Linked DNA regions of Mus musculus: all the other regions are reported to be linked to region 1. The links are microRNA targets in miRTarBase. Many come from high-throughput screens and were not tested one by one. Region 1 holds a microRNA gene; each other region holds the end of a gene's coding sequence.

Region 1 (4,206 bases):
CTTGGCCTTTCCTGCTGAGTTCTGCTGCTCTGCAATTGCCAGACCACTTCACTGGCGCTGGAATCGCCCTTGCTATCCGGAGTGCATCCACAGCTGGGGACACTATTGGAGCGGCCATGGAGAAGGGGGTTCTAAGGCCAGGAGGGTGTCCGCTAAGCTACCAGGCTACGTCTGCTAGGCACCATCTCTATCACCATTCCTGTCTGCATCCCCCCTCCTCCATGCATTCACCTCTCATCTTCAGTTCCATTCTCTCGCAGCTGTACCCCCACTACAGCCTATCTCTGTCTCATCCCCTTCCCATCAAGAGCTTGGTCATCAGCCCTGATGTCCACTCATGTCTCTCAGCTCCCACCTCCATCCCATCCCCATCTCCCTAAAGTTGTGCTGCACCATCCTAGATATTCCTCTCTACCCCATCCCTCCCCCTGCACCCCTCAGGCTGCCGCAGCCCCCTTTCCGCAGTAAGTCCCCCTTCCTCTACTGAACCCATCCCCCCTTTCACCCCGCCCCCGCCGCCACAGCCATGGCGCTCGCTTTTCTCCCTCCTTTTTCTGCCGCCGCGCCCACTGCGGCAAGCCCCTTCCCCGCCAATCACATCGCCCTCTCTCCTCTCCCTCCATCTCCCGCTTTCCGCAGCCCCCCTCCAAATGCCCCCCTCTGCCTGCCGCAGCACTCAGCTCTCCGCACCAGCCGCGCCCACTGCACCAGCGCCCCCTCCTCACTGCGGCGCCAGAGCAGGCGCCTGCATCTGCAGCTCCGGCTTATCTTACCGGCTCCAGCTGTACAGAACCATCCCCGTTGCAGAGGAGGCAGCGGTCGGTCGGAGCTGCAGGTGTCGCCCAGGCTTTGTTCGCCCAGGGCCTGGCCTGATGCTGGAGAGGCAGCTGGCAGGAGCCCTTGCCTGCCCGGAGATGACCCCTCCCATCGAGTCCATAGAAGTGCCAGCAGCCGATGCCCCCCAGTTAGGGGGTCCCTGTTCGTGATGGAGGTTCTTCTTGGTGATGTTGCCATTTGGGTGAACCGGAGGCAGGGGCTCGGGAATCATGAAGGCATCCAGGAGGGTGGAAAAGTATTGGGAGTGAGGTGGGGGCGGGGAGGGGATTGTGCTTGATGCTTTTCCAATTTCAGAGATGGAGTTGAAATGTCTTCCTTCGGGTGTGACCCCCGGGGACTAGACAGGTTTGTTGGGGAACAGGAGCAAGCAATGGGAAAATGCCCCTGGAGCCTGGGCAGTGAGTAGTCCCCCAGAAAGCTGGGCCATTTGCTCCAGGCTGTCACGTCCTGGAGACTCTCAGCCTCTGGGGCTGGAAAACCCAGGAGCACAGAGGGCTGGTTTACTTCTAACCTACCAGTCAACAGAAAGGCCTGCTCTAGGAGCCAGCAGCTGGGGAGGGGAGTGTAGCCTGTGCCTCTCCCTTATCTGCGGTGCTGAGAGATTATACTCCGAATGCCCCTACACTCCCCCAAGCCGTGCCAGCTGGAGTGTTTTAGGGGCCGTGAGGGAAGTGGGCTTTCCACTCTGCATCTCCCCCGTGAGCACAGGAAGCTTCTAGAAGAATGGACCAGAGGCGGGGTAGCATGACTCTGCATTATCTTCAGAAGGTGGAGGGTTTCAAGGCATTGGGTCCCTGAAGTGTCAGGGGAGGTCAGGTCAGAGATGTCTGTGGGTAGCATCAGGATGCTGGACTCTGCTAAAGTCCTGGGGTGACTGTGGATGATGACCAAGAGGGATGCTGCCTCTGTGAGGGAGGAGCAGGAGCTGGAGCTGTCAGCAGGTGGCAGGAGGGTGTGACCCTGAAAGGTAGGAAGCCACAAGCTGCTGTCTGCTCTGGAGAATAGTGGGGGGCCGGGGGTGGGGTGCAAGCAGCCAGATTTGGGAGGAGGTAAATGAGCAGTTGCTGCCCATGGGTTTGCTGCAATGGGGTGCCATGCTAAGTGTCACAAGAAGCAGGGGTCTTGGAATTTGAGAGGCTTTGGGGTTGGGGACAAGGCTTAGAAAAGGGACTAAAGTGGGGAAAACCTGCCATTAACAAACAACCCCCTTCCCCAAATAAAACCTGTGAGTGCCAGGGGAGGGTAGTGCCCCCCAAAAACCCAGGAGGGAAAGATCTGGAAAAATGAAACCAACTCTGAGAGAGATGGGCGGGGTCAGTGGGGAACAATACTGCCGCTCCACTCCCACCCACCTTCAGGGCTGGCAAGGAGGAAGCTGCTGGTAGGGTAGAACGGAGAGACGTTCCTACGATGGGTATGTACTCCAGTGCTTTCCTGGAAGTGTAGAGAGCTTTGCAGAGCCTGCCTTAGCTGTTCTGATGTTGAGCACCTATGGTTCCAGTTGGGCTGGGTCTCAGCTCCTCTATCTTTGACCCTCAGCAAGCAGGTCTGCCAATGCATGGGCTTCTGGGCAGCCTGACCCAGCCTGCCCGGGGCCCTCAGGCCAGTGCCCAGGCTCTGGCTCCGTGTCTTCACTCCCGTGTTTGTCCGAGGAGGGAGGGAGGGACGGGGGCGGTGCTGGGGCAACTGGAACAGCGCAGGTCACCGGGCTGGCTGGGTGAGGTGGCCAGGCAGAGCCAGGGGGCTGCAGGGGAGGCCATTGGATGGGGTATGCTCATAGTAGCTGGCCAAAAGTCTCATGGGTCCCATTTATCCAGAACCTGCCGTGGAGTGGGGCGAGTTTCTGTTTCTGAGTGTGTGTCCTTAATTAACTTCTTCCTGTTTCAGCTTCGTTCTTCTGTCTATGTGGTGAGGGGTGGCAATTGGGACCACTAAGATGGAGAAGGATGTCAGAGGAGCAGAAACCATGGGAGGGGCCAGTAAGGCTGTGCCCACCTCTCTCTTGCCAGTGCTCTGTTGTGCAGCCTGGTCCTCAATATTTCCACCTAAAACCTTTGGCCTACACACACAGAGTGCCTCTGTCCCAGCTGAGCCCAGGATGGCCCCATCCTGATACCTGCAGCCTCCATCCCCATAGCTGTTTCCCCACTCACTGCTGAAGTCAGAGATGGGTCATCCTCTACAGTGCCCCCCATGATTCCTCCTCTAACAGAAAAACCCTTAAACCCCACCACTCAAAGAGAGAGATGTGGCATATCACCTCAGCCCAGCAGACCATGGCCCGGAGCAGAGCAAATAGAAGGCCCTGCTGGGCCCTGTACCTTGTTGTGCCTGTAGCCTGCTTGCGGGTGGATAATCTCTGCTTAGCCCTCCCTACTCTAGAAGGAAGGGAATCAATCAATGGATGCAGATCAAGTGGCAGGACCTAGGCTTGCAGCTCCCAGCTGTCTGGGCACCAACCCAGCCCTTTCTTGAGGTTGGGTGCTTAATAACATGTTGCTTCCCAGGACCTGCAGTCCCTGTGAAAGGCAGGTGCCCTGGGCAGGAGGAAGCAGTGTGGTAGGAGCAGAGGGTACCAGGTAGGGGAGTGGTGGGAGGGGCATTCCGTGTGCACCTCCCATCTCTGACTCCCTTTTCTCTTGACTCCCCCAAGCACCCTTGAATCAGAATACAATTCCTTCTGTTCTTCTACCAGCTGTCAGCCACTGCCCTGCTCTGTGGACCTTTGGGGACCCTGAAACCAGGTGGGACTCAGCCTGTGAGGCCAAAAGTCCCCAGGGTTCTGGGATGAAGCACAGCTCCCATGCCTTAGTAAGCAGGAGAAGGGCTAGGCCAGGCCCTCAACCTGAGACCTGGAAGAGCAGATCTGAAGGTTGCCCTACCTAGGGATGGAGGGGTGGCATCTGGGGATATATACCTTCCATGTCAGGTCAAAATCACAGAGGCTGTACACAGTTCCACTCTGCAATATGCACACACACACACACACACACACACACACACACACACACACCATCCAGCACACATAAATGCTTGTGCTTACTAAGTGCTAAAGACAAGGATGTGATCATGTAACAAGCTCTTAAGGGTGAATGCAACCTCAGAATCTCTCCTTAGTCAGAGATCTCCACTCCCAGTTGGCTTCAGGGGAGGGGGGTTCATAGAAATGGGGCCTAACACATAATGGCCTCATCCTGAGGTCACAGGTTCCTGCCCCCACATGCTTCTTGACAAGATGTCCACTCCCCTCTGGCTCAGTCCCCCACCTCTGATGGCAGCCTGCAGTATCACATCCTGGAGTTCTTCACATCCCACCTTTCCCATCAACCCGTCAGCAAGGATAAAGCCCAGGTACCAGCCCTGGCACCT
Region 2 (4,206 bases), not on the chromosome of region 1:
CGGATGCGGGCCGGGTCCGGGGCCCGACACGGGTGGCGCGGGCGGCACGCGCCAGGCGCGCAGCAGCGGCGGCAGCCCCGCGCACAGCGCTAGGATGTGGCACAGCGACACGGTGACCGGGAACGGGAAGGCGCTCAAAATCACCTTGTTGACCACGTTACCGCCCGCGCTCAGCGCGTACCATAGTAGACACAGCACCGCCACCCGCGCACCCTCGCGCGCCCCGCCGCCGCCACCCGCGCCCGGGACCCCTGCGCCCGCGCCGGGACCCGCGGTTGCCGCCGCCGCCATCCTGCCCGAGCGGCCGCCCCTTCCCGCCGGACGACCGCCGGACGCGGGCAGGGGGCGGGACAGCCCTGGAGGGCGCGCCGGCAGACGCCGCTCACCATTGGCCCCTGGCCCTTGCGTCATCGCCGCTCGCCATTGGCCACCGCCCCATACGTCATCGTCGCGCGTCCGCCGACGCGCCCGTACACGTCGTCGGCGAGGGCCCTACCCTCACTTAAACGCTTTCCGGGAGGGGGCGGGGCTAAGCCCGGAAGGCGGGCCGTAGGGCCCGCGGGTGGGTTAAGCGCGTTACGTTCTCTCCGGTGACTGGCAGGACTCCGTGGGAGGTGCCGGGCGACGCGGGCCCGCCCACTTGAGGCTGTGGAAGCCGCGTGCCTGGGGCGTAGACAGGGCTTAGATCTTTTAGAAGAAAAGAAACCGATTGCGGTAAATCCTCTGGACTACGCCGGGTCCTCGGAAGCTGTGCGGTAGGTGTCAATTTCCCCTCACAGACCAACCGAGAGAAATCCAGGGTTAAGTGTCTCCTGCGACAGTGTCTTAAGAGCTCAGCTGACCGGTACGATGCTGGGCAAAACCACGAAGGCAGGACTAGACTTACAAAACTCGATTCCCAAGATCGTGTGCTTTTAAGTGAGGGAGAATAGTTGTTCGCGCTCCTTAAAATGTGTTCATTTATGGAGGCGGGCACGAGCGTGTGTATACACATATTGAGGTCAGACGAGTTGAGTCTTTTGTCTCTTTTCTACCATGTGCATCCAGGAAAAGAAACTAACTCTGGCAGCAAGCGTTTATTTGCTGAGCCATCTCGCCAACCTCAATATTCTCCTTTACAGCGTCTCCTTGAATGCCAGGGTGTCTTTCTACCTCACCTATGTTTTGGTTTGCTTTTCTCTGTGTAACAGATTCCTGGCTGTCATGGACTCGATTTGTAGATTAGGCTAGCTTCGAACTCAGAGATTTGCCTGCCTCCGCCTCCTGAGCACCATGCGTAGCTACTCACCCGTTCTTCAAGGTAGACTGTGTTGTACCCTGGGGTTTGCTGGATACTCATCACACATGTGGCAGTCCTTGTGGATCTGAGTAGAAAATGGCCTGGTCCCTCCCAAAGCAGGAGTTTAAGAATATGGTGATAGGACGCTGGGCTTTGTACCCTAAGGCCTTTGTCACAAACTAAATACAAGAGGAATTAGGATCTTTGGACAGAGCAGTGTCAGATGGCCCCACTGATGTGTTTTGGTTGCTTTTATTTCATATTGGATTTGGCCCTGGCAACTCTGGAAGCTTTTTCATTTCACAACAGGTACATGTACTCAGGGCAACCCAGCTGTGGTTTCACCTCCTCAAATGGCCCTGTAATGGGGAGTGGGGCCATTCTGCAACAAACCTCAGAAATTCCTACTGGCTCTGAAACGGGTTCTGGGTTGGCTTTGGTACCAACCAGACCAGGAGGTATGTTCTAAGACTTAAACCATGAAGCTGCTGTTTTATGAATAACTGTTATCTTTGAAATTAAGAAGATATGGATGAGTGAAAAAAAAATACTAGACACCTAATCTTGGCTTAATTGTGTATGTGGGAGAGAGGGGGTAGATCATTACTATATAACGAAGGTGACATCTTAGTGGACACCTGTCAGGTATGGAGGCAGCCTTGGGTCTGCCTGCAGCTGCTAGCCCAGGGCTAGGGCCAGAAAATAGTTATGTACATCTGGGCCATGCAATCTCCCTGATGGGCAGGGAAGGTGTACACCATGTCACTAAGAGGCTCCTCTAGGTGGGTGACCAAGGGGATGTTGTTGACCATGAATCAATGAAAAGCAGATAGAGAGGCCCTGCCTGCCGCTACAAAATAAAGCTAAAGGGATGTCACCAAGGCTGGCATAGTAGGTATGGATGTGGGCTCCAGGCACTTACCCCTGTAGGAAAGGCCAGATTTAGCTATACATGTGCAAATGAGAAATGATTCCAAAACTGGTTTGTGCAAATATTTTTTTTATTTCCACATTTATATCACAAGTTGTCCACTTACTGGACCAAATAGCAAAGTTGCTCCCTTCTGCGCGAACACAGAAGTCTAGGTACTGTACATTCACTAAGGCTCCTTGTTTTTGCAAATCGCGTTTATGACCATAAGGCAAACGAATCTAAAGGAATGGTTATGAGTGTTTCCAGCCAACAGACGGCTCTTCCCTAGCCCACCAGGGCAACTCACACCAGTAGCACCCTCGGGAACTTTGTGGGTTAAAGACTCTAGAAAGATGGCATTTTTCTAGAGTTGTGCAGAAAAGGAAAGAAGGGAAGGAAAAGTCATTTGGCTGGTGGTAGGGGAAAAAAGAGAATGAAATAAATGAGAAAACTCAAGTTTCTGCAGCATTTCTTTTAAGAACTGGGACTGAACTGAAACCATATACAAATGGGCAGACGACTGTGCAGTGTGGGTGAGGCTGGCCCACCCACACAACACCAGGGTTCACCACAGCAGAGAAGCTTCCAGCGCACAACACGAGGGCGACAAAAAAAACCACTGGCTCGAGAGTAGCCTGTGCCTCAGAGACACCAGGGCCAAAGAGCAAGAGATGCAAAGAAGAGATGTGTCTGTTGCTGTTAAGGTAACCTCTTCCACAGGGTTCCTGTGCCTGCCTGCTACTGAGGTCCCTGCCTTCGGTGCTTAGAGTGGTTCTGCACCTCTTCTGGGATGGGGGACTAACGCTTTATAGCTGGCTTACTATAGATTTCAGCCATCTATCTGCCCCTCCCCCGAGCGGCCCTTCCTTTGCAATCGTTAGTAAACTGGTAGCAGCATTTCACAAAAGGATGGTGGAGAGCGAGCCTCATGCTCGCCTTCTCAGCTGGCCAGCCTAACCCTTGCGAGGTGGGAATGCACATGATGGCCAGGTCAGGTGCTCAGTCCAAGCAGACATAAGGCAGAATGTTCAAGCGCCCATCGTCACCATGAGGGTCGAGCGATATACACTGTGTCCAGTCATACCAATTACCCTGTGTGTCTTCACACCCGTTAACCCCTGGCCATTGCTGGGCCTGGATTCTGTCCAGATCATCCTGCGTGACCTCACGTGTGAGCCCTGGTAGGTCAGTGGGTGTGGGCAGTGGTAGCAGCACATGGGGCTGCCGGGCCCCTTGCCGACTGCTCTCCTCCTGCTTCAGGTATTCAGCCATAAAGTGGTGCGCACCTGGGGTCTGTGCGCCTGAGGAGGATAGCAAGCTGCTCTGGCGGCTCAGGTAGGACTGTATGATCTCATTTCGTGATAGCTCCTTCCAGTTCGTCTGCTCAAAAGGGCTCTGGAGGCTGGCCTTGACCTCCTGCTGCTCCAGCTCTGTCCTAGGCAGCTGCTCTGTGGGTACTGGGCTGTCAGCCCGCACCGGCTCTTTCTGGGTCAGAGGCCTGATCTGTCTTGTCATGGGGTCAAAGGTGAGCTTCCGCTCTTTTAACCGCACAGGTTTAACACCAGCCTCAGCCACCTGCCCGTCCAAGTTCACTGTGTAGTCTCGAGGTCGGTACCTCTTTTTCTTTTTGCTGTCCGAGCCACCCGAAGAGGTAGCATCACTGTCCGCCTTGGAGGAATCTGGAGAAAATCCAGCCCTGCAGGCTGGCCCCGTTAGCCGTGGGTGGCCCTCAGACTGCTCTGGCCAGTGCACAGGGCTCTCAGCATTAGGCAGCAGCTCCTGACGGCGCACAGGGGGCGTGGGTGGCTGGGCCAGCGGGAGTGGGGATGGTACCTGCGTGTTGTCCGGTGGCTGGGGCCATGGGGAAGGGCTGGACACCTGGCCCTTGGGTATGTAAGAGCTCCGATGCCGTGAAAAGGAGCCTTCGTGCCGTGAGTTCCGGGGGCTGAAGGAGCAGCGAGAGGACCCCCTGGGATAGGGAGGGCCTGGGGACTCATCTGCCCTGTCCAACTGC
Region 3 (4,206 bases), not on the chromosome of region 1:
CTGGGTTAGTATCCTGGCTCCCACAGGCTGGCAACCCTAACCCTACTCCCTAGCTCCATGGATGCACCAGGTCACTCTTTTTTTTTTGTCACAGCATGTCCCAGCCCCTCCTGGACCGCACAGTCCCAGATTATACGACCTTCACGACAGTGGGTGACTGGCTAGATGCCATCAAGATGGGGAGGTATAAAGAGAGCTTTGTCGGTGCTGGGTTTGCATCCTTTGACCTGGTGGCCCAGATGACTGCAGAGTAAGTGTACCGCTCAAGGTGCAGGCTCTGGGCAGGAACTCTGGCTGAGCCCAGCGTCGCGGGTAGAAGGGAGGGACTGAGTACCATTTTTTTCTGTCTCTAGAGATCTGCTAAGGATTGGGGTCACTTTGGCTGGGCACCAGAAGAAGATCCTCTGCAGTATCCAGGACATGCGGCTGCAGATGAACCAGACCCTGCCTGTGCAGGTCTGACACTCAGCTCCAACGAGGGGGGGGTGCCCCCCCAGGACTGCACAAGGATTCTGACCAGCCAGCTGGACTTTTGGATGCCTGGCCTCTGGCTGTGGCCCAGAAGATGGAAGTTTGGGGGAGGACCCTAGCTGTGACTTCTCCAGGCCTGTGCTCCCTCCCAGGAAGTGTGCCCCAAACCTCTTCATATTGAAGATGGATTAGAAGAGGGGGTGATGTCCCCTCCCCAGATGCCTTGGGGCCCAGGCCTGCCTGCTCTCCAGTGGGGAGTCTTCACAACTCAGATTGGGCTGCGCTTCAGTAATGGACGTCCTGGTAGGGTCAGGTGGGGATAAGCCTGGGTTCTTCAGGCCCCAGCCCTGGCAGGGGTCTGACCCCACCAGGTAAGCAGAGAGTACTCCCTCCCCCAGGAAGTGGAGGAGGAGACTCTGGGGATGGGGAGATATGGTGCCCCATCCTGAAGCCAGCTGGTACCTCCAGTTTGCACAGGGACTTGATGGGGGCTGAGGGCCCTGCCTACCCTTGGTGCTGTCATAAAAGGGCAGGCAGGAGCAGGCTGAGAAGCAGCCTGTGCCTCCCAGAGACTGACTCAGAGAGCCAGAGACTGTGTGTGTGTGTGTGTGTGTGTGTGTGTGTGTGTGTGTGTGTGTGTGAAAGACGGGGGTGGGGGTATGTATGTGTGTGTTGTGCACATGCTTGCCTGCACAGAGAGCATGAGTGTGTACAAGCTTGGCCCTGTGCCCTGTAGTGGGGCCAGCTGGGCAGACAGCAAAATAAAGGCAATAAGATGACTCTTGCCCCTGCTCGTTCTTCCTCCCAAAGCAGGTTTCCTTGATTTCCTCATGTCAGTGAGGGAACTAGGGGGCTGCTAGACCTTCACAACTTCCTGGGGGTCAGTGGGAAACTACAGCGAGGCTATCCAGGCCCGATTTCTCCTGTAGTTCAGCCCCATTGCTTTGAGCATCTAATAGAGTTCTCAGAAGTTCCTTGTTTCTGGGGCTGGGGGACAGGCTCTGGAGTCTGCGTGGTGTTCTGTAGAGTCCCTGAGGGAGAGCTAGAGGGTTAATCACTCCCCAGGGTCTCAGTATGGCTCCTCTTCCTTCACTAAGCACTGAGTGCACCCAGTCTTGGAGCCAAAGCCAATTTTACATCCACATCTTATTTCAACTCAGTAACCCAGCCAGGAGAAGAGGGAGATGTTTAGTAAGTTGGCCACAGTTCCCATCCAGCACTAGAGCCAGAGGCTGGAAACCCCTGTCTATAGACAGCCTGGAGAGGCTTGGGAGATGCATATCAAGAGTCCGGAAGAGGTCTGAAGTCTCTGGAGTCAAAGGAAGACTTGTGCGTGTCAGGATATGGAAATGAAAAGGGACATCCATGATCCTGGGTAATGGAATGGGCTGGAGGAAGTGAGTGTATGCACCCTGGGTCTGTTTTAACCAGTGGTGGCAGGGTGAGAGTGCAGGGGAGGACACCCTCACAGGGAGAGATGCAGGTCCCTTTGGACCAACAAACAGAAGCGGGCAGGGTATAACAGATGCAGTCCTCCCAGAGTAACCATAGGTGCTGCCTAGAAGAGCTTTCTGAAATATCTGTGAATCCTAACTTAGAGTGCCCTTCACTGGGAGGGACCAGGAAGGCCTAGTAACATGGGCATGTACAAGGGTTGTCAAGTGTGGCCACCTCAGTCTGGTGTTTCTGGCTCCTCCTGGGTCCCTTCACCAACCCCTGGCAGACAGGTTCTCAAGACTGCCTCTCTACCCCTTGCATTCGGTGCCCAGAGTCCTGCAGTACATACTCACCGTGAGGGGGGTGCACCCACAACGTGGATCCTCAGTAGCCCCCATGCTCCAGGGAGGGGGTGGGCAGGAGCTCCCCAGTCATCTTCCAGTGCTGTCGTCAGTGGTGTGGGCATAGGGGTACAGGAGAAGGGATGTGGGCATGGTTGCCATTCCCTTGCTGAGAGTTCACAGGTCCCAAGCCTGCTTCCTACTCTTGGGAGGGTGGCCCTCTGGATCAGTGAGAGGTCTGTGGCTCCTGTCTCCTGGGTAATTTTTCCATTGTCCCACCCCACACAATGCTGACTGTGGAGATCCACTCAGAGCGAGGCCAGGATCTGCAGGGTGGACTGGAGCCTAAGGCTAGAGGTGCTCAAGTGCTCTTCCAGCTCCGTCCAGCCCACTGAAGCCTGCATGATTTCTTTCTTTATGGGGGTATGAATGTCTTCCCCTGTCTTCCCACAGTCTCCTGCCACTGTCAGCCAGAGTACATGCACGTACTCTAAGCCTATTCCATTATCCACACACCACTTACATTACCCGTTTTCATGCCCTCAGTCTGTCCACCCTAGCCCCCCTCTTAGCCTGGGTACCTGCAGGGTTTCCCAGGACTCAGAAATAATGAGGGGAGGGGCCTGCAAGAGTCACTGCATTCCTGCCAGCTGATAGAGCCAACTGGTATTTTGTCTAGAGAGCTGGGATGTATTCAGACCCTAGAACCTCAGAACAAAGTAGTGAGGGAAGCAGGGTCTTGGCAGAGGAAGAGAGAGCACCCCAGGAGGGGTCCAGCTTCCCTACAGGCAGATAAGGAGTAGGGGGGGATGGAGTTCTCAGTCTGTCTAGTCTTCCGTTAATTACACACTCTGGGGCAGATTAGCTCTCCCCAGTCAATGATTTAAAAGAGAAGCCAGTGGGGAAGAGGGGAGAGGCAGGCCCTTTCCTGCTGAGGCCAGGTGCTGAGTAAGACCTGGGGTAGTGTAGTGTAGTAGGAAGCGCAGCCTACACAGAGCCCAGGCCGGGTGTGGAGCAAAAAACATCCTCTCTCTCTCTCTCTCTCTCTCTCTCTCTCTCTCTCTCTCTCTCTCTCTCTTCTCTCTCTTCTCTTTCCCTCTTCCTCCCCCCCCCACACACACACACAGACACACACACACAGACACACACAACGTGACCTAGGCAGGTTGACATCAGAGCCGTCCATCATCTGTAAGAAGTATATGAATCTTTCTATCCCATGAAAATGTTACAAATGCCCAATCGTATTAATAAATGTAACATCTGTATGATGGTACGTGCTAAGAAATGTTAGCTCCTTTTTATTGTTGCTATTATTTATTAATGTGAAACTTGAAGGAAATATAGAAGCCGTCAGAAGTGAATAGTACTTGGTTTGTAACAGTCAAATACAGCAAGGCCCTGGGAGTGATGCCAGCCTCAGTCTTGGGAGGAAAAGATGAAAAAGCTAAGGAGCAAGGAAAGGTGGGACTGAGGGACACAGAGGTACAGGATTCGCCCAGCCCTGCCCCTGGGTGAGTTGCTGGGACCTGAGTAGTTTAAAGTCAGTAAGAGTTTAAAAGATGGTGAAGGGCAAGTTGCTGAGGGTGGAGCTGTAGGGACTCATTCCTCAAGCATTTGTTGGGTGTCTGCTACCACACTGCAGTACTGGGATGGGCACTAAACACACAGAGAAGCGAGGGGAACCAAATGCTTGCAGGAACCAAGAGAACGGCAGGAATGAGATTCAAACAACCACAGAAAGGGCTGCCCATGATTACAAGTCAAGAAACGCCACAGAAGGCAAGTTGAGGTTTGTGGAACCCCATCAGCAAGGCTGGGGGCTCTCACCAGTTATGGGATGCCCAGCAGAGGGAGCTGGGACCCCCCATGACCATCAGGGTGCTTCTGTGTGTCCAACCTTCTAGTGTCTGACCTTGAGTATTCTCCATCCATACCCTCATTTACTTATTCAGTG
Region 4 (4,206 bases), not on the chromosome of region 1:
GCAGAGGATCTGTTCTGTCCGCCGTGGCAGGTTGCAGCGGGGCCTGACTGTTCCAGCCTGTTCCTTTAGAACAGCTTGCTTTCAGGAAGCTTGGGACACAGAAGTCAGGCATCCCTTGAGGTGCTAGCTGGCACTTTTACACCTGCGAGGGGAAGGGAGATTAGCTTCGAGGCTTTAGGAAAGGGCCTCTGCAATGTGGTCAGTTTTCCTTTACTTGTTGTGCAGTTTCATTTCTCTGCCCCTGCTGACTGCCGCATGTATTAATCCCTTTCTTAAAAAAAAAAAATGTAATTCAGGGACTTGGAAATGGAAGTGCTGAGTTGAGCAGTATAAATGTAGCAAAGAGACAAGCCCATTGGGGTGGCTGCTCACTCGTGTGGCGTGTCTGTCCCGAATAGCTTGTTCTAAATGTAGTAACCATCTTTTAAAGAAATGTCTTCGGAAATGTCTTTTGTGTGATCAGGCCCATCTCTTTCCTTGTTGTCATGGTTAGGACACTGGGGATTTATGCTAGCCCCACAGTAAATTCTTTCATGTCTTCTATTTTCCTATTTGGATAGCCAGTTAATTAAACTTCAGCATAATTACATAATTCACTGTGCTCATTCCATAAAATAATTTAGCACCTTGCTTTTCAGAGCTGTCAGAAAGCAGAAGCAAAGAAAACGTAATAAGATAAGAAGGGAGGCACTAAAGGACAATCCATGAATCACACATCTGCTCCAAGAAGAAGGAAGAGGAGGGAAGGGGCCATCAATATCCTCACTCCTAAATGTCCAGTGACTTGAGAATAAGCAAGATTTATAGTCCAACCTTTGATGCCATTTTCTCCGCGTGCCACATGGACTTAAATCCAGCTGCTTTCAAAGGTGTGCCCCTTCCTAAGCCTGGTAATGGGCAGGTGGCATTTGCTGGCTATGTCCCTTCAGCTGCCTCTGCAGACCGGGGAGCCTTCTGTAGGCAGCAGGTTGCCTGGCTCTCTCTCCACGCTTTTCCACCCTTTAACGCCTCACCAGTGTTTATTTTGGCCTCTTTTGACTGAGAAACTGACGGATGTTCAGTACCTGTTTACTTCGATACCGGATAGAAATGCAAATGAAAGTCTACCGCTTACCTGCTTACCTCGTGTGCGTTGAGCTTTTGTTTCACTTTAGGTATGAAACTCTTGTTAAATGACCAAGTCATACATTAAAGCACATCTGGTCCATAGCCCATCGGCCACATGTGCCCCAGGATAGCTATGAATGTGGCCAATCATAAGCACACTTAATACATTGTGAGGCTTTTTGTGAGATTTTGGTCATGACTTGTTCTCACAGACCTTGAGTAGGAACATTGTAGATGATGTCGTGTTGCAGTGTCAAAAGTTGGGCACAGCCGGCCAGTGGTGGCGCACGCCTTTAATCCCAGCACTTGGGTGGAAGAGGCAGGTCGATTTCTGAGTTTGAGGTCAGCCTGGTCTACAGAGTGAGTTCCAGGACAGCCAGGACTACACAGAGAAACCCTGTCTCGTAAAAACAAAAACAAAACAAAAAAAAGTTGGACGCACTAAGACTCTTTTAACAAAAAGTATCATACATAATATTTATGGATTGGATCTAGAGATGGTGGGGGAAATTGTTATTGAAACGCTGTAAAGATAAAAGGATTGTAATTGTTTTATTATTAAATCTTTATTTTTCAGTACTTTTTTCAGTTGTTATTCCTTTTTTTTTTTAACATTTTACAATCAGTAGTTGTACGTGTGCCTGTGTGTACCCATGCATGCCACAGCACTCATGTGCGAGTCGGGGACAGCTTGTGAGAGTATGTTCCCGACTGTGGGATTGGCCTGAGTTGACAGACTTGGGGGCACGACCTTTCCCCACCTCACTTGTCTTCTGTTGGTGCGGGATCACTCATGTTGGATGGATGTCTAGGATGGTGATTGCACTGGTATTTTAGGGTCCTCATGCCTGCTGTAGGTTTACCCCTTTGTGAAAGGCGTTGGTCACATAAGGCAGGGTGGTGATTAACTCCCTCATTCCTGTACTGAGGAGCACTTCCTGGCTGGGTGGCCTTTGTCAGATCTCCTCTCTAAGCCTCTGTGTCTTCAGTATGGCATATATGTCAGCTTTGCTTTGTGATCTCGGTTCTCTGTGGTGAGCAAGCTGTATAACCCAGCTTTTGACCCAGGTGCCTAGCACTGAAGAGAGTAGTTCCATATCGTAGAAGAAGCAGTTCATGGCTCCTTTTCTCTGCCCGCTACCTGGCTTTATCTCTTTAAGACTGAATGGTTGCAAATGGACTAATTTGCATAATGACTTGTCTTTTCCTAAACAGCAGCTCTGGAACTCCTTGTGAAGCCTCCTGGCTTGGTAGCTGGAGCCCCGTGAGTTCTCTATCTACTCCCTGTAATCCAGGACAGTTGGATGTGTGATGCGGGATGTTTAAGCATGGAGCAGATCAAATTGATAGTGGTCGACATCAGGTGGCATCAAAAGATAAGTTCGTTGGGTGCAAGGGCTTGGCATGCAACCCTGCTGATCTGTGTTCCTTCCCCAACCATGTAGAAAGCCAGATGTGTAATCCAGTCCGCCTACGGGAGGTAGAGACAGAAGAATTGCTGGTAGCTCATGCGCTACTTAGCCTAGGGTTTAAGAAATAGGAGAGACCCCAAATCGAGGCAAGGTGGGAAGAGCCGACTCACATAAATATTTGTGGCACATCTTCCCCTGCTTGCAGATGCACACACACATTCGCGTGTATACCCCCAAATACATTTTATTTTTCTATCTATCTATCTATCTATCTATCTATCTATCTATCTATCTATCTATCTATCTATATCTTGTCTATATATAAATATGCACATATAAATATACACACATATACAAAATACACATATTTATGTGTGTATATATATACATACACAACTATATGTATATACACACACACACACATATATATATATAGACACACATACACACACACATACACATTTAAAAGTTGGTTAAGCCCTGAGACTTAAGCTTTAAGACACTCTTATCTCCCTCTGTTTTGTGTCTACTTGTTTGATTTCTGTTTGGTAAACCCAGGCTTATGTGTGTGTGTGTGTGTGTGTGTGTGTGTGAGTGTGTGCTGGACAATCGTTCTAGCCCTGAGCTTCAGTCCCAGTTCCATCTTGTCACTGTACACAGATGACTGTGATGATAGGAGGGGCAAGTCTGAGACAAGAGCTGGGCATTGCTGTGTTCCCCTCTCTGTTTTCAGCCTGGATAGGGACACTTCCAGACTTTCCTGTGTCTACCTAGCCATGGTATCTATTGGGTTCTCTAGAACTCAGATATCGGAGGGACCATGACCACTGAAGAGTTGGGTCCTGATGGCCAGTCATCATTTGTAACCCCATATTCCTTAATTTTAAGATACTATCAGTTATAAAATAGGTCATCCAGTTAGGTGTCATGGAACATACCTACAATGTGGCTATTCTAGAGGCTGATGAGGGGGGGTGGCTGGAACCTGTGTTTAGGCCTAGCCCACTCAACACAAGAAATTCACCATTGATTTTGTCCTCGATTTCCCTAGGGAAAAGGTGCAACACTTCAGTAATTGTCTATACTAGTTTTTAGATTTTCTGATTTTGGAAATATTGAAACGTAGAAAAGTTACATCTTAGAATTAAGGAGCCTAAGCCTTAGTAATAGTCAGGAGTAATGTACTATATAACTCTGAGGCATGGTCACACATGCAGGTAATCTCAGCATTCTTGAGATTTTAATCCTATTCAAGCGACTAAGATCAAAAGTTTAAGACCACCTTGAGCATTTTAGCCAGACCCTGCCTCAAATTAAGAGCAATAAAATATGGGGTAGGGTATGGTTTAGTTAGTGGTGTGCCTGGTATGAATAAAGCCCGGGTTTAATCCCTCTCTCTGCAAAAGTGAAAATAAGCTTTAAATAGCTACTCTCAGACTTGGAGTGTTCAGTAGTTAAGAGAACTTGATGTTCTTCCAGTCAGACTAAATTCAGTTTCCAGTTTTGGTTTTGTTGGTGGTGGTTTTTTTGACTCTGTGTGTGTGTGTGTGTGTGTGTGTGTGTGTGTGTGTGTGGTGGTGGTGGTGGTGGTATTTTGTTTTTGTTTTTGATTTTGATTTTTAAAGACAGAGTCTCCCTGTGTAGCCCTGGCTGTCCTGGAACTCACTCTGTAGAACAGGCTGTCCTT
Region 5 (4,206 bases), not on the chromosome of region 1:
TTGACCGCTCAGCACTGGACCAGTACCGCGCTGGTACGCTTTCGATCACTGAGTTTGCTGACATGCTCTCAGGCAATGCCGGTGGCTTCCGTTCCCGCTCCTCCTCTGTGGGCTCATCTTCCTCCTACCCCATCAGTTCTGCTGGCCCCAGGACCCAGCTAGCCTCCTGGTCTGATCCGACTGAGGAGACTGGCCCCGTGGCCGGCATCCTGGACACAGAGACTCTGGAGAAGGTGTCCATCACGGAGGCCATGCACCGCAACCTGGTAGACAACATCACCGGCCAGCGGCTGCTGGAGGCCCAAGCCTGCACCGGGGGCATCATTGACCCCAGCACTGGTGAGCGCTTCCCGGTCACTGAAGCTGTCAACAAGGGCCTGGTGGACAAGATCATGGTAGACCGTATCAATCTGGCCCAGAAGGCCTTCTGTGGGTTTGAGGACCCACGCACCAAGACCAAGATGTCAGCTGCCCAGGCCCTGAAGAAGGGCTGGCTGTACTATGAGGCAGGCCAGCGTTTCCTGGAGGTGCAGTACCTGACCGGTGGTCTGATCGAGCCTGACACGCCCGGCCGTGTGTCTCTCGACGAAGCTCTGCAACGTGGCACTGTGGATGCCCGCACAGCCCAGAAGCTGCGTGATGTCAGTGCTTACTCCAAGTACCTCACGTGCCCCAAGACCAAGCTCAAGATCTCCTACAAGGACGCTCTGGACCGTAGCATGGTGGAGGAGGGCACGGGGCTGAGGCTGCTGGAGGCTGCGGCACAGTCCAGCAAGGGCTACTACAGCCCGTACAGCGTCAGTGGCTCTGGCTCGACCGCCGGCTCACGCACTGGTTCACGCACCGGCTCCAGGGCCGGCTCCCGGCGTGGCAGCTTTGATGCCACTGGCTCTGGCTTCTCCATGACCTTTTCTTCTTCCTCCTACTCTTCCTCAGGCTATGGCCGCCGCTATGCCTCAGGGCCTTCAGCCTCTCTTGGGGGCCCTGAGTCTGCAGTGGCCTGATCCCCTCAGCCTGCATCCTGCCTTCCCGCTCTGCATGTGGCCGGGCTCCCTGTGGAGGCACTGGGGTCTTCTTTTTTTTTTTCTTTTTTTTTCCTTTTTAACATTTAAAGGTGTCTTCCTCCCAAGCGGTGCCTAAAATCTAACCAAAAAGACCAGACTAACACATTAATATATGTATGCGATGTCCAGACAGCCTGTGTCTTGGGGAACAGGGCTGGCCCAGGCCCAGTGACCACTTCAATCTCCTGGGTTCTCCCTAAATCCTTTCTACCTGCCACTCACCACAGCCAGGTGCCTTGGAGAATCCAGAGCTGGGCATTCAGCCTATACCACTCCTGTCTCTCCTGGGAGGATTCTATCTGGGAAAGGCCCCCAGACCTCTAAGCCAACCCCACTGGATGTCTACCTGCTGGTCCTAGCTGCTGAGGGGAACTGGGGACAGTCGTGTGAGCAGACAGCTCTTGAGGCCTCTGTCCTGAGCCAGCTGCTTCTCCCCAGTCTATCTCTGAATGTCCTGTATATTCAGTGGGTTTTGCTGGCCAAGGGAAGATCCCAGGCCAACCATCTCTTCCAGCCTACCCAGAGAAGCCCCTTCCCCATGGGAAGATAAGGCCTGGTCCTGGCCCCAGCCTCCCGCCTGGCTCCTGCAGCTGCCATTGGAGCTATGCTTTGTAGCTCAACACCCCATACTTATTCCCCTGAGACCTGAGCCTCTGCTTCAGCCTTCCAGCCTCAGCTCCCCTTGTAAGTGCCTTCTGTGTCCTTGTACCCAGGCCCTAAAGACCCAGACCCAGGGTAGGAGATGGACATTCTGGCTGGGCGGGGCTGGAGGGTTCTGCAGATCTGAGACTTCTCCTGCTCCAGAGGCCCAGGGACTCTTCAAGCCTGTGGAACCCCTCTCTGGGTGCTGCTGCCCACCTCACTCCCAGGGAGCCCTGGCCCCTCCATGGCCCAGAGACACCGGCTGGCCCATCTATGCTAACAGAAGCATTTGGCCAGTGACACTCTCCCTTCCTTCCTGTCCAGCCAGTCCCGGGCCTTGGTGGCTCCTCCCCTGCCTCCACCCTCTGAGTGAGCTTTGCATGTTCCACTAACCTTGAGCTGGTGGCAGGTGGAGATGCCAGGCAGAACACTAACCTGACCATGGGCGGGGCCCTGCGGTGTCCGCCCCTCAATAAAAGCAATTCCAACCTTCACCTGGGTCTTGCCTTGTGCTTTGTTCCTAGATCATCTGTGTATCCGTGAGAGGGTAGAAGCTGTGGTTCCCGGCTCCGGGCCCTGGCTCACCAGATGGGTACTGGCCAGAGTAGATACATGAGGCCTTGCAAAGATGTTAGGCCAAGGCTGGGCATCACAACCAGGAAAACCCAAGGGGTGGCTAGAGAGCTAGCAGGCAGAGAAGGCAGAGTGGAGAAGGGAGCAGGCTGCACTGAGGTGGGCCTGCTGTGCCCAGCCTCTCATCTGGGTGATGTCCTGTCACTTGGCACATCCCTATGACAGCCACAGGGTTGGGACTTCTCTGGAGTGAGTGTCCACACACTCCCTGGGGGTTGGGGGAGGGGAGGGTGGGTTGATTCCTCTTGGTTAAGGGCAGCTATTTTAGGAAGGTGGCTTTAGTACTGGCTGCTGCCGGGGACCACCACCACCCACTTCCAGTGTGGTCTGTCTTACATCTCGGGCCCGCTTTCTTTTCAAGTGCAGGTCAGTAGGTCCTGGACTTAAGCTGTGTGGACTTTCAGTGGCTGCAGATTTTCAAAAGACCTGTGAGACATGCAACCTGCTATAACCCCTGGCTCTGAGCACATCACTACTGACGTGCTCCTTTGCCTGTGGGGTACAGACCTCGATCTGCCTACGAAGTGGGGCTCTTCTCTCCCCACTTCGGATGAATGACTAGGGCCACCCTTGCCAGGTGTCAGCAGCCTTACCTGCTGGGTTGACTAGAATGCATTTCTCAGCATATACTCCCTTGGCAAGAATGGCCTGCCTAGCACAGCAGTCCACATTTAAGGAAGCCCCCTTAGGTACTTGCCACGTTGCTGAAGTGCCGTCTGCTAGTTGCAGAAACGCCATTGTAACCATCTGCTTATGTTCCCTTGAGGCCCAGGCCCCTTTGACCTGGATCTCTTTGGACTTTACCACCCTTCCCTCTGTGTGCTGTCATGCTTCAAAATTGCCACTGCATTGCTGTGGGTGGATGGCAGGACATGCAGTCTCCACACGCCTCCACAGGTGGGTCTTACCATCTGGAGGTCAGTAGACATCCCTACTCAAGTCCCCTCCTTGGACTGTGTTTCCAAGGTTACAGGGGGGGGGGGGGCACCTGTTGGAGGCCAGATCCCCAGAGGTGGAGCTTAAAGTAGCAATTTAGGTGTCTGTGACTGGAGGAGGCATCTTGGGAGGGATGAGATGGAAGTGTGGGGCAAGGAGCTGACGAGAATGTGGCCTCTGCTGGAGTCTAGTAATAGCTGGACCCCAGGGTTCTTGGTCTGTCTTATGCAAAGATGGATCTGAGCTGACATCCCTGCCTCAGCCAGCCAGCAGCCACAAGCAAGCTAGCGCTAGGGTGACACATGTAGCTCCCAGGCATCTCCAGATGTAGCTGCACTTGTGAGTCTGGGAGGACGGAAGGTGTGACCGGTAAATAGCCAGGGGTGGACAGGAGGACACACCCTTCCCCGGTGGGATTCAGGTAGGCCATCAACAGCTCCTTCCTTTTTTGAGTGTGGATTGTGTTGTGTGATATATGCTGGTGAGCATGTGGTAGCCTGGCATCCGGTGCCTTCTTTCTCTCACCCTCACATTTGTAAAGCAAGCACTCTTACCCACTGGCCATCTGACCCTAGTGACAGTTGGGAGTGCAGCAGTGTGGCGGCCTGGGGTATCCTGAGCACACATTGAGGAAAATGCCATCTACCTGAAATCTTAAAAGAGGAAGTCCTTGGGAAGAGTAACCGAGAGGGACTTCCCTGTCTGACGACCCCTCTAAAAAGCTGCTCCCTTGGAAAGCCTTAGGTTTTAATAAGCCCAAGTCCTTCCTTGTGACTCCCAAGGACCTGTTAAAATCCAAGGCACATTCCCCACCGAGGACTGGAATCAGACCACCCACTGGCTGCCAGGCTTGGTAAGGGAGCTGGAACACGCTGTTCAGAGGTTAAGTCCACGAGGTCACGTACTGGCTTTGGTGCAGTAGCCAGCATAA
Region 6 (4,206 bases), not on the chromosome of region 1:
TAGTGAAATGTAACTCTATTATGTTTCGTCAGGATGCTCAGATTGCAGATATACTGTCAACAGCTGGGACTGTGGTTACCATCACAATCATGCCTACTTTTATCTTCGAACACATTATTAAACGGTAAGTGAATAGCTCTTCAACTTTATGATCTCCAGCACCTGATATAAATGTGAACAGTGCTTTGAGCTTGCAGGTCTTGTGCATATTAGAAATCTAGTCATGGTGGTTCCTGACGGATTGCTTGCCTGTGAGGTAGTAAGAGTGGCTGTTGCTATTCTTTCCCGTATCCTAGCCAGTAGAGCGGTACCCGGTGCTTGCTATCTATCTATTGGAACTGAGGAGTGTAGAGTCCAGGAGAGCTGATAAAGGCCGGCAAGGGTGATTCATTCCAGAGCCTTTCAGCTCCTATGCTCCTTCATCGCTGTTACCATGCTACCTTGGAAACTTCTTCCAAAGTCCTGATATAGCACATGAAAGTGAGATTTGGAATAGACATAAACATAACCTTTGTAATGCAATTTTTGTCTATATTTTTGGGTTTTGGGTAGAATGCAGCTAGCTACCCTCGGAGTAGGGAAAGGGGTTGATTATTTTACAGTCTTTTGTTCTTTTAAATTACTGGTAGGTTCCTTATGCCCCTTTCTGACTCGTCACAGCCTTGCTGCTTCAATGAAAGAGCCAGTCGTAGTGTAAAGGATGCACACCTTCTCTAACAGCCATCCCTGATGTAAATAGCTATTCTTTCTGGACAGTTTCTGACAACTTGATTATCAGTTCCTTAGATCCGAGATCATTCATCGATGACAATAGGATAGGGCTAAGCTGGAATTGGGGTTGTCTTAAATTACCATGGCCTTCTTGAAACTAGATGTGAGTTACATGATGAGTTGCTCTCTTGTAGGATGGCTCCCAGCATTATGAAAAGCCTGATGGATCACACCATTCCTGAAGTTTAAACCCTTGTACAATGCATCACGGCTGAATGTTTCCAGTTTTCCTCTTCGGCAACTTGTCTATTTCGCACATGAAGCTTTCCCGGAGCCAGGGAGAATATGCTGCATGGAGACCTTTCTCTCTTCTCTCATAGCTGGGAACCCGCTCTATCTGATACTGGCTTCAGATTTTAAGATGGGTGTAGCCTTAGCCTGGTTTTACAGATGTGAGACTCCCAAAAGATTTACTGACTTTCCTAGACTGGGTTCTTTACTGGGAACCTGATGTTTTTATATAAGCCATTGTGATTAGGATGACTGGTATAGGCTTAGCTGTGTCTGAGACCTGGTCAGCTTTCTCCTAGAACAAAGCACAGTGCTAGTCATGTGCTTCAATTCTGTGGCATTCTTGGACTTTAGTACGTCAGCATAGTACATTTAGAATGATTGCCTTTGATAGTTATTTTTTTAAGTTTTCTCTGTGTGAGTGTGTAAAATTCCAATTAATCAACACTGTTTTCATTCCACAAAAGCATTACACAGTTGTGTGTAGGTTGCAAGAGACTGTAATGATTGTCACTAATCTTAACTACCTTCACTTAATATGCTTCAATTGTCGCCTTAACTACAGTAAGCATTTAGAATAAAAGCCAAAATAGAATTATTGCTGCCTTCTGAAACTTGAGATGTTAGCTCTCTATTAAGCTGTTCTGTGCTAGCCCTGAGCAGCTCACTGGTAAAGCAGAGCTGCCTACTTGTATCAAGATTTTCTAGTCACTGCATAAAGGAAACGCCTAAGAGTTGCCGTATTGCTTTCTGAGAAACAAATTGCTATATATTTCATGTAAAAGTTGTTATACTAAATAGAATAAATTTTGGAGTCTCTTTTTCACTCTAGTGGGTAATATCTAATTTGGCATTTGAGTCCTAACATTATGTAACTTTAGCTAGGTTGGGGTCGTTTTAGAATGTTTCCCTAGTCATCTTAATTTGTTCCATTTTCTGACTCTGTCCTATAAACAAAAATGGCAATGACACTTTATGATTTTTTCTTTCTTAGCTTGTGCCTATCCTATTATTTTATGTGATATTATTAAATGTATAAAAATGTGAAATTTCCGTCTGTCTGTGCCTGCATCAGTCCTTACTGTGAGGCTAACACTAGGTTCTTTAAGAAGCTTTAGCGGAGACTGCCTGGAAATACACTTGCTGGGCATCCCTCTTGGCCAGCCTGTGGTTACCTTCACCCTGCGCACTGACATCAGTGAAGGAACCTGGAAAGGCTGCTGCGTCTCCAGTGAATCCCGAGACCATCCACATGTATTAGTGACACTTAAAACTAACTCAAGGTTCTACTACTTTAGTCTGGTGCCTTTTCTCTATAACATGTTTATATCATGCTTCCTTTTCTCTATAACATGCTTCAGAAAATTTGTAATCTTGTAGTTGCTGGTCAGAGACTGAATGTAAGAAAATCATTGCAGTTTCTATATAGGCTACCTTGTTGGAAATTTATAATTCTCAGTTTGATTATCCACCTTGCTTTCTGGACTTGGTTCTGAATATAGGTCCAAAAGAAATGAAATTGTGTTTGTTTCATTAAGTATGGTTTTGTAGAAGGAATAATACTTGTGATTCTTAAGTTATTTAAATAAGATAAGAGTGCTTTCATTACAGAAAAATATTTTTAATGTAGAAAAGATGAACCTTTAGTAGCATAATGAAATATAAACCATTGCTATACACAGTAACAGACTTAATGTTATTAAGAATCTGGGCACGCAGCACTGCCGAAAGGAACCAGTCCATGACCGCACATCAAAGAACCGTGTTACCGTCAGAACCTGGGCAGCTTGAATACAGACTGTCCTCTTGGGGACTGAGCTGGCCAGTGCTGGCCAGTGTTCCTCAGTCCGACTGGGTTTATCCTGAACACCCAGTAGTCTTCAAACTGTTGTCATGGTTGATAGTTCTCTGTCCTTTCCCCTAACACTGCCATGTTATATCTGCTTAATGGATGACAACAAATGGCTCTGAATGAAGTCACCATGATTTAGGAAGTTGAAACCACACATTCTTCATGTGGTAAAACTTCTAAGTACTATCATTGCACATTCACCAGTTTAAAGTCTGGTTTAAAATACATTAAGTAGAATTGTACTTGATGGAGAGGAAAAGGCACTTAATACTGCAATTTCCAGAACATAATTTGTCTGTCTTCCCCTCCGGTGATAATACTGCTACACTGTTCGTTCATCCACATGCATGTCACAGCACCTGAAAGACATCTCTGTTAGCAGGTCAACCAAATGCAGATGTGCTGCCTGCCATAGGAGGTAATCAGCATACCCGCGCTCCTATTATACACTATGTAAAGGTTTGTTGTTGTTTTGTCAATTCAGGGTTTTATTTTTTTTCCTTTTTTTTAATTAGGTATTTTCTTCATTTACATTTCCAATGCTATCCCAAAAGTCCCCCATACCCTCCTCCCCACCCCCCTACCCACTCTCCCACTTCTTGGCCCTGGCGTTCGCCTGTACTGGGGCATATAAAGTTTTCAAGACCAATGGGCCTCTCTTTCCACTGATGGCCGACTAGGCCATCTTCTGCTACATACGCAGCTAGAGTCAAGAGCTCCGGGGTACTGGTTAGTTCATAATGTTCCACCTATAGGGTTGCAGACCCCTTTAGCTCCTCGGGTTCTTTCTCTAGCTCCTCCATTGGGGGCCCTATGTTCCATCCAATAGCTGACTGTGAGCATCCACTTCTGTGTTTGCCAAGCCCAAGAATAGCCTCACAAGAGAAAAACTTGCTTCTACAAAGAACTTACAAGGAGTGAACTATCTCACTATGAATCTAAAAACAAAATGATTGATGGAAACATACTCCTTGGCGAACGGTAAAAGACACATAGAGAAATGTATGGAAAGGGAATTGGGCAGCCTGTAGCCAGCCATGTGATTTTATGTCTTTTTCATTGAAAGGTTCACATAAAAATTGTAGCTGTTAAGAAACCAACTAAAGGGAGTAGGGGAGTGGGGGGGAGGGTATGGGGGACTTTTGGGATAGCATTGGAAATGTAAATGAAGAAAATACCTAATAAAAAAAAAGGAAAAAAAAAAAGAAACCTACTAAACTGAGGGGGAGAACATAGCTACATAATTTTAAGATACAGGTTTAAGAAGAAATAGAGCATATGAAAATTATATGTGTAAGAGTGAGAGAGTTAAGGTAGGCAGTTAAGTCTCACCTCTGCAGGGTGAGGGGAGC
Region 7 (4,206 bases), not on the chromosome of region 1:
GAAGCCCCCGTCTGAGTCTGTTGGCAATGGCGGGAGCAAGTATAGCCAGGAGGTGATGCAAAGCCTGAGCACTATGAGGATCGCAATGCAAGGGGAGGGCAAGTACATTTTTGTTGGAACCCTGAAGATGGGCCACCGGCACCAGTATCAGGAGGAGATGATCCAGCGTTACCTTGCAGATGCTGAGGAAAGATTCCTGGCAGAGCAGAAGCAGAAGGAGGTTGAGAGGAAGATCATGAATGGAGGGTTAGTTAGTGGGCCTCCTCCAGCCAAAAAGCCAGAGCCGGACGGTGGGGAGGACCAGCCCAGTGACTCCCCCGCAGAGCCCAAGGCGATGGCCTTCTCTACTGCTTACCCTGGGGGCTTTACTATCCCTCGGCCTTCTGGGGGTGGAGTCCACTGCCAGGAACCCCGGAGGCAATTGGCAGGGGGGCCATGTGTAGGGGGCTTACCATCATATGCCACCTTTCCCAGACAGTATCCTGGGCGACCGTACCCCCACCAGGACAACATCCCAGCTCTGGAGCCAGGCAAAGATGGAGTTCACAGGGGTGCCTTGTTACCACCCCAGTTCCGTGTGGCTGATTCCTATAGCAATGGCTACAGAGAGCCCCCAGAGCCAGATGGATGGGCTGGAGCTCCACGGGGACTTCCCCCAACCCAGACCAAATGCAAACAACCGAACTGCAGCTTCTATGGACACCCTGAGACAAACAACTTGTGCTCTTGCTGTTACAGGGAAGAACTGAGGCGGAGGGAGCGGGAACCTGGTGGGGAACTGCTGGCACACAGGTTCTGAGTGGCTGGAACCTTAGTGGGGACAGGGGCTAAACAAAGAAAGTTAAGCTCAACTCTGGCTCATCAGGACCCAGCCCCTGTGTTGATGGGGCAAGTGCAGAGAGGGGTGTGGGGGCTGGAGTGCTGGCAGTCTGGTGGGAGCAGGGCTGGGCTAGCTAGCACTACCCCAGGGCAGTACTGCTCCTGCGCACACAGTTGACTTGAGACTTCAAGGCAGAAGGGGGAAGCTCATAACCTCTTCTGTCCCAATCCCAGGGCCCAAGGGAAAGTAGGGAAATACTAGGTGTGTGTGGGTGGGAGGTGGGTGGACACCTTCGGGGAGGAACCTGGAAAGAAAGTTCTCAAGTCAGTTAAGGAAAAAATAGACCAAAGTTCATTGACTTTAGAAAAAAAGCACATGGTGGTGTAGTTGGGAGTATTGAGTCGATCTGAGATACTGAACAAATTTGATTTTGGTTTGAATTAGGTAGATATTAGGGTTGAATAAATTCTCCCTGAAGGATCAAGGCAGTAATGTATGTGCTTGGCCTGGTTACACAGAAAGGGTGGTTTAAATCCCAGTGAATGGAAATAGGAAGGAGGAACTTAAAGGGGAGTCTTTCCTAGAGAGTTTTATGTTCTTCTAGATACTCATCTGCCATCCATTCTAGTTTTAGGGGAGACTGCCTGTTGCCCTACCTTTTCCTCATCCTTTTTAAGGATTGAGCTCAGCTAAGTTAAGATGTGATTTTTTTTTTAAATATTTTTTTTTAAAGCAAGTTCCCTTTGGGAAAGAGAAGAGTGGTAAGAAGCAACCTTGTATATGGGGTTTCTTCAGGTGAACGGGTGCAGAGTGATCTATTTTTTAACTACTTAGCAATAACTACATGTGGGTTTGAGTGCACCTGAGAAGGGGTGGAGGAGCCCAGATGTTTGGCTAGACTGTTTGAAACAATACCAAAAACCTCTATAGAGCACTATCCTCTGCTGCTGTGTTTCTGTAGAAAGCAACCTATTTTACTAATTTTTTAAAGAAAGACAGGACCCTGACAGAGAACATTTAAAAGTTACTGACTCCTGCCCCTACCTAAGTGGGTTTCTCCTTCCTGTCACTTCTGGAGAGTGAACTTAACACCCTGGCTTCTTTTGTTAAGCCGTGGCTGACCTTAATCTGTGGTTAGTTTATTAAAATAATAAAAAATACTTTGTAAGAAAAATTATTTTTGATATTAGGGCTGGTGTTGAAGCATGGGATGGGGGCTAGGGGCCACTTTGAAAGGTAGCTAGAGAACTCTATTTTAGTGAGCTGTCGCCATGGGCCGCACGGTCCCAGTGATCTGACCTGCCTTTGGATATCTCCCTTTTCCTGAGCCAGCCCTGTTCTCCAGAGGGGTAGGGCTGGACCCAGTGGTGAGAGCTCCCTTGCAATTTGCACAAAGCACAAGTCTGGACAGCTTCTGCTCTGACCAGAGCTATTTCTAAGAGCTTTAAACCTGAAGGCTATCCTGCGCCAATTGTCCCTTCTCCTTATTTTTTTTCCTGGGGAAAAATCATCTATGCAATTCTATACAAATGAATTCTGTGTTCATTTGTGGATGCAAATGAAGAAGGGGTGAGTGCACTGCACGTGTCCAGAGTTACCTGGGGCTGTTTCTGGGCTCCAATTTCTCTGCTGAGGTATGTCATCACCCACTAATGGAATGTTATCCCCGAATTTGATTTAAGTCACAAATGGCTAGATGTGCATGTTTGTGCGTGTGTGAGATGGGACTCCAGTGCATGTTTCCTCTGCCTAGTCAGAAAAATGATCAAACACCTCTCTTTGGTAACAAAGCTAGTCAAGACTTCTTTATGGAATTATTAAGTTTAAGAAGTTGTCCCCCACCCCCTCAAAAAGTTTGAAAGTCATTCACTTCCAAGTCTGCCAATCTGTTGATTTCATAATTTCCCATCATTATTTTTTGACTATTTTTTGTTTGTATCTTTGCTATGTAGCCCTGGCTAGCCAGTCTGGTACTTGCTATATAACCCAGGTTAGCCTCCAACTCATAGCAACCCTCCTGCCTCAGTCTTCTGAGTGCTGATACCTAGGCATGAACCACCACACCCAGCTTTCTACAGGCTGAAACCTAGTATGAGATAAGCATTTCTGGCAGGTGCATAATTTAAAGATCTACTAGGAAATTGAGGGTTATTTTTGTTTTGTTTTTAGATAGGATCCTATCCTGTAGCCCAGGCTGTCCTTGAATGTATATGATCTTGCTTCAAATTTGCCAAGTTCTGGGATCACATCATACCAGACATTTTTTAAAATTTCAATATATAAGCATTAAAAACCCAGATTGAACAAAACATCAAAATCTTAGGATGTATCAGGAATGGTATTAAGGTGAAAGAGGTAAGAGCCCTTAATTGAACAAATATGAGGACAAATCCTGTCTACTTAAATTGTGATATGTTCATAAAGATGTTTTTACATTTAAAAATTTTTATTTTCTTTAAATACTGTATCAAGACAGTACTTATCTTGATTCGTGAGTTTTAAGCACTCCTTCAGTTTTCTCCCAGTGAGTGGTAGGTGAATGCCTCGTGCCTTGCTAGCATCACCTCAGACTTGTCCCAGTTTCTGAAGCTTGAATAATGCAGGTGAAACCTTCACCGTGAGCCCCTCTTCCTGGCTGCAGTCACCCTGTGTGCACTTCTGTCATCCTTCTCCCACAACATACATAGGATGCCTACCTGCCTGGGTGGGAATGCAAACAGCCCAGCAGGGGTTTTCCTGTAGAATAAAACCAGGGAATTCCATTTCCTTTGGGCTGCTGTGTTTGGACTTGGTCTGTTATTAGATTGTATAAACTGAGGACAAATGAAGAGAATCAGAAAACTTGTATCATGTTGTTTTTATTTATATAGTACCCAATCTTAGTTCTGCTTGCCTTTCTGAAGAGAAAATAAAAAAGTTCCAGGGAAAGGGAAGAGAGGTCTAAGGTCATATGGGAAATGGGTATTGGGTCTTTTAACTTTTTGTTAAATTAGTTTTAATTTGGAGGGTGACTATTAAGGCATCAATTTTAAAGATGAGGGACTCTGAGACATTATTATTTTTTTAATGAGGGCTTGTGAGATTTTCATTCTGTGTTTTTTAGGGTGGAGGAGGGGTTGAGTAGGGGTGGAGTTAAGGAACGTCTGGGAAACAAAACAAAGATCAACTTGTTCAGAATAAGCAAGCCCATGCAGATACTGTGGTGGGGAGAAGGGAGGGTTGTGTGGGGAGCATCCACGTGAGTAAACCTTCCTTATTTACGAGGGTCCTGTGTGTGATGGGGGTGGGGGTCCTAGACGAGGTAAGTCCTCATCTCTCAGGCTTACATTAAGTGCAATTACTCTTTATAATCCAGGGCATCTGGGGTCCTACTAAAGTTTTAACGG

The links. The annotated mature microRNA mmu-miR-149-5p reads UCUGGCUCCGUGUCUUCACUCCC and lies in region 1 at 2,454-2,476, shown strand. An mRNA with a match to its seed (bases 2 to 7 or 8) in the 3' UTR can be bound and repressed. Matches are read on the target gene's strand: a 7mer-m8 pairs with bases 2 to 8, a 7mer-A1 pairs with bases 2 to 7 and ends in A, and an 8mer does both.
Region 2: the mRNA of Med26 is a reported target of mmu-miR-149-5p. Seed matches in the 3' UTR shown: 7mer-m8 at 2,812-2,818.
Region 3: the mRNA of Ephb3 is a reported target of mmu-miR-149-5p. Seed matches in the 3' UTR shown: 8mer at 1,054-1,061.
Region 4: miRTarBase lists Zcchc4 as a target of mmu-miR-149-5p. The part of its 3' UTR that is shown has no 7-base or 8-base seed match.
Region 5: the mRNA of Plec is a reported target of mmu-miR-149-5p. Seed matches in the 3' UTR shown: 7mer-m8 at 1,482-1,488.
Region 6: the mRNA of Sdcbp is a reported target of mmu-miR-149-5p. Seed matches in the 3' UTR shown: 7mer-m8 at 1,043-1,049.
Region 7: miRTarBase lists Otud7b as a target of mmu-miR-149-5p. Seed matches in the 3' UTR shown: 7mer-m8 at 2,146-2,152.

What each region holds. Positions count from the first base shown.
Region 1 is chr1:92,847,928-92,852,133 of GRCm38, forward strand. Mir149 (microRNA 149) reads left to right here and starts at 2,451; the gene lies at 2,451-2,516. All of the region lies in intron 1 of Gpc1 (glypican 1), which reads left to right. It overlaps Gm29480 (predicted gene 29480), which reads right to left and starts at 870. Exons shown (of 4, transcript NR_166170.1): 1 at 774-870.
Region 2 is chr8:72,492,296-72,496,501 of GRCm38, forward strand. It overlaps Med26 (mediator complex subunit 26), which reads right to left. Exons shown (of 3, transcript NM_027485.4): 3 at 2,263-4,206. The coding sequence ends at 3,192. It overlaps Slc35e1 (solute carrier family 35, member E1), which reads right to left and starts at 319. Exons shown (of 6, transcript NM_177766.3): 1 at 1-319. The coding sequence starts at 291.
Region 3 is chr16:21,222,055-21,226,260 of GRCm38, forward strand. Ephb3 (Eph receptor B3) reads left to right here. Exons shown (of 16, transcript NM_010143.1): 14 at 1-4; 15 at 95-250; 16 at 354-1,250. The coding sequence ends at 462. Among named protein-coding and RNA genes, the nearest start is that of Ephb3, 19 kb to the left of the region's middle.
Region 4 is chr5:52,822,980-52,827,185 of GRCm38, forward strand. Zcchc4 (zinc finger, CCHC domain containing 4) reads left to right here. Exons shown (of 13, transcript NM_001308144.1): 13 at 639-1,686. The coding sequence ends at 708. Among named protein-coding and RNA genes, the nearest start is that of Anapc4, 9.1 kb to the right of the region's middle.
Region 5 is chr15:76,168,968-76,173,173 of GRCm38, reverse strand. It overlaps Plec (plectin), which reads left to right. Exons shown (of 33, transcript NM_001163540.1): 33 at 1-2,200. The coding sequence ends at 1,004. Among named protein-coding and RNA genes, the nearest start is that of Plec, 35 kb to the left of the region's middle.
Region 6 is chr4:6,393,605-6,397,810 of GRCm38, forward strand. Sdcbp (syndecan binding protein) reads left to right here. Exons shown (of 9, transcript NM_001098227.1): 8 at 33-124; 9 at 906-2,518. The coding sequence ends at 960. Nsmaf (neutral sphingomyelinase (N-SMase) activation associated factor) reads right to left here. Exons shown (of 31, transcript NM_010945.2): 31 at 2,603-3,213. The coding sequence ends at 3,119. Among named protein-coding and RNA genes, the nearest start is that of Sdcbp, 30 kb to the left of the region's middle.
Region 7 is chr3:96,155,170-96,159,375 of GRCm38, forward strand. Otud7b (OTU domain containing 7B) reads left to right here. Exons shown (of 12, transcript NM_001025614.1): 12 at 1-4,206. The coding sequence ends at 799. Among named protein-coding and RNA genes, the nearest start is that of Mtmr11, 4.7 kb to the right of the region's middle.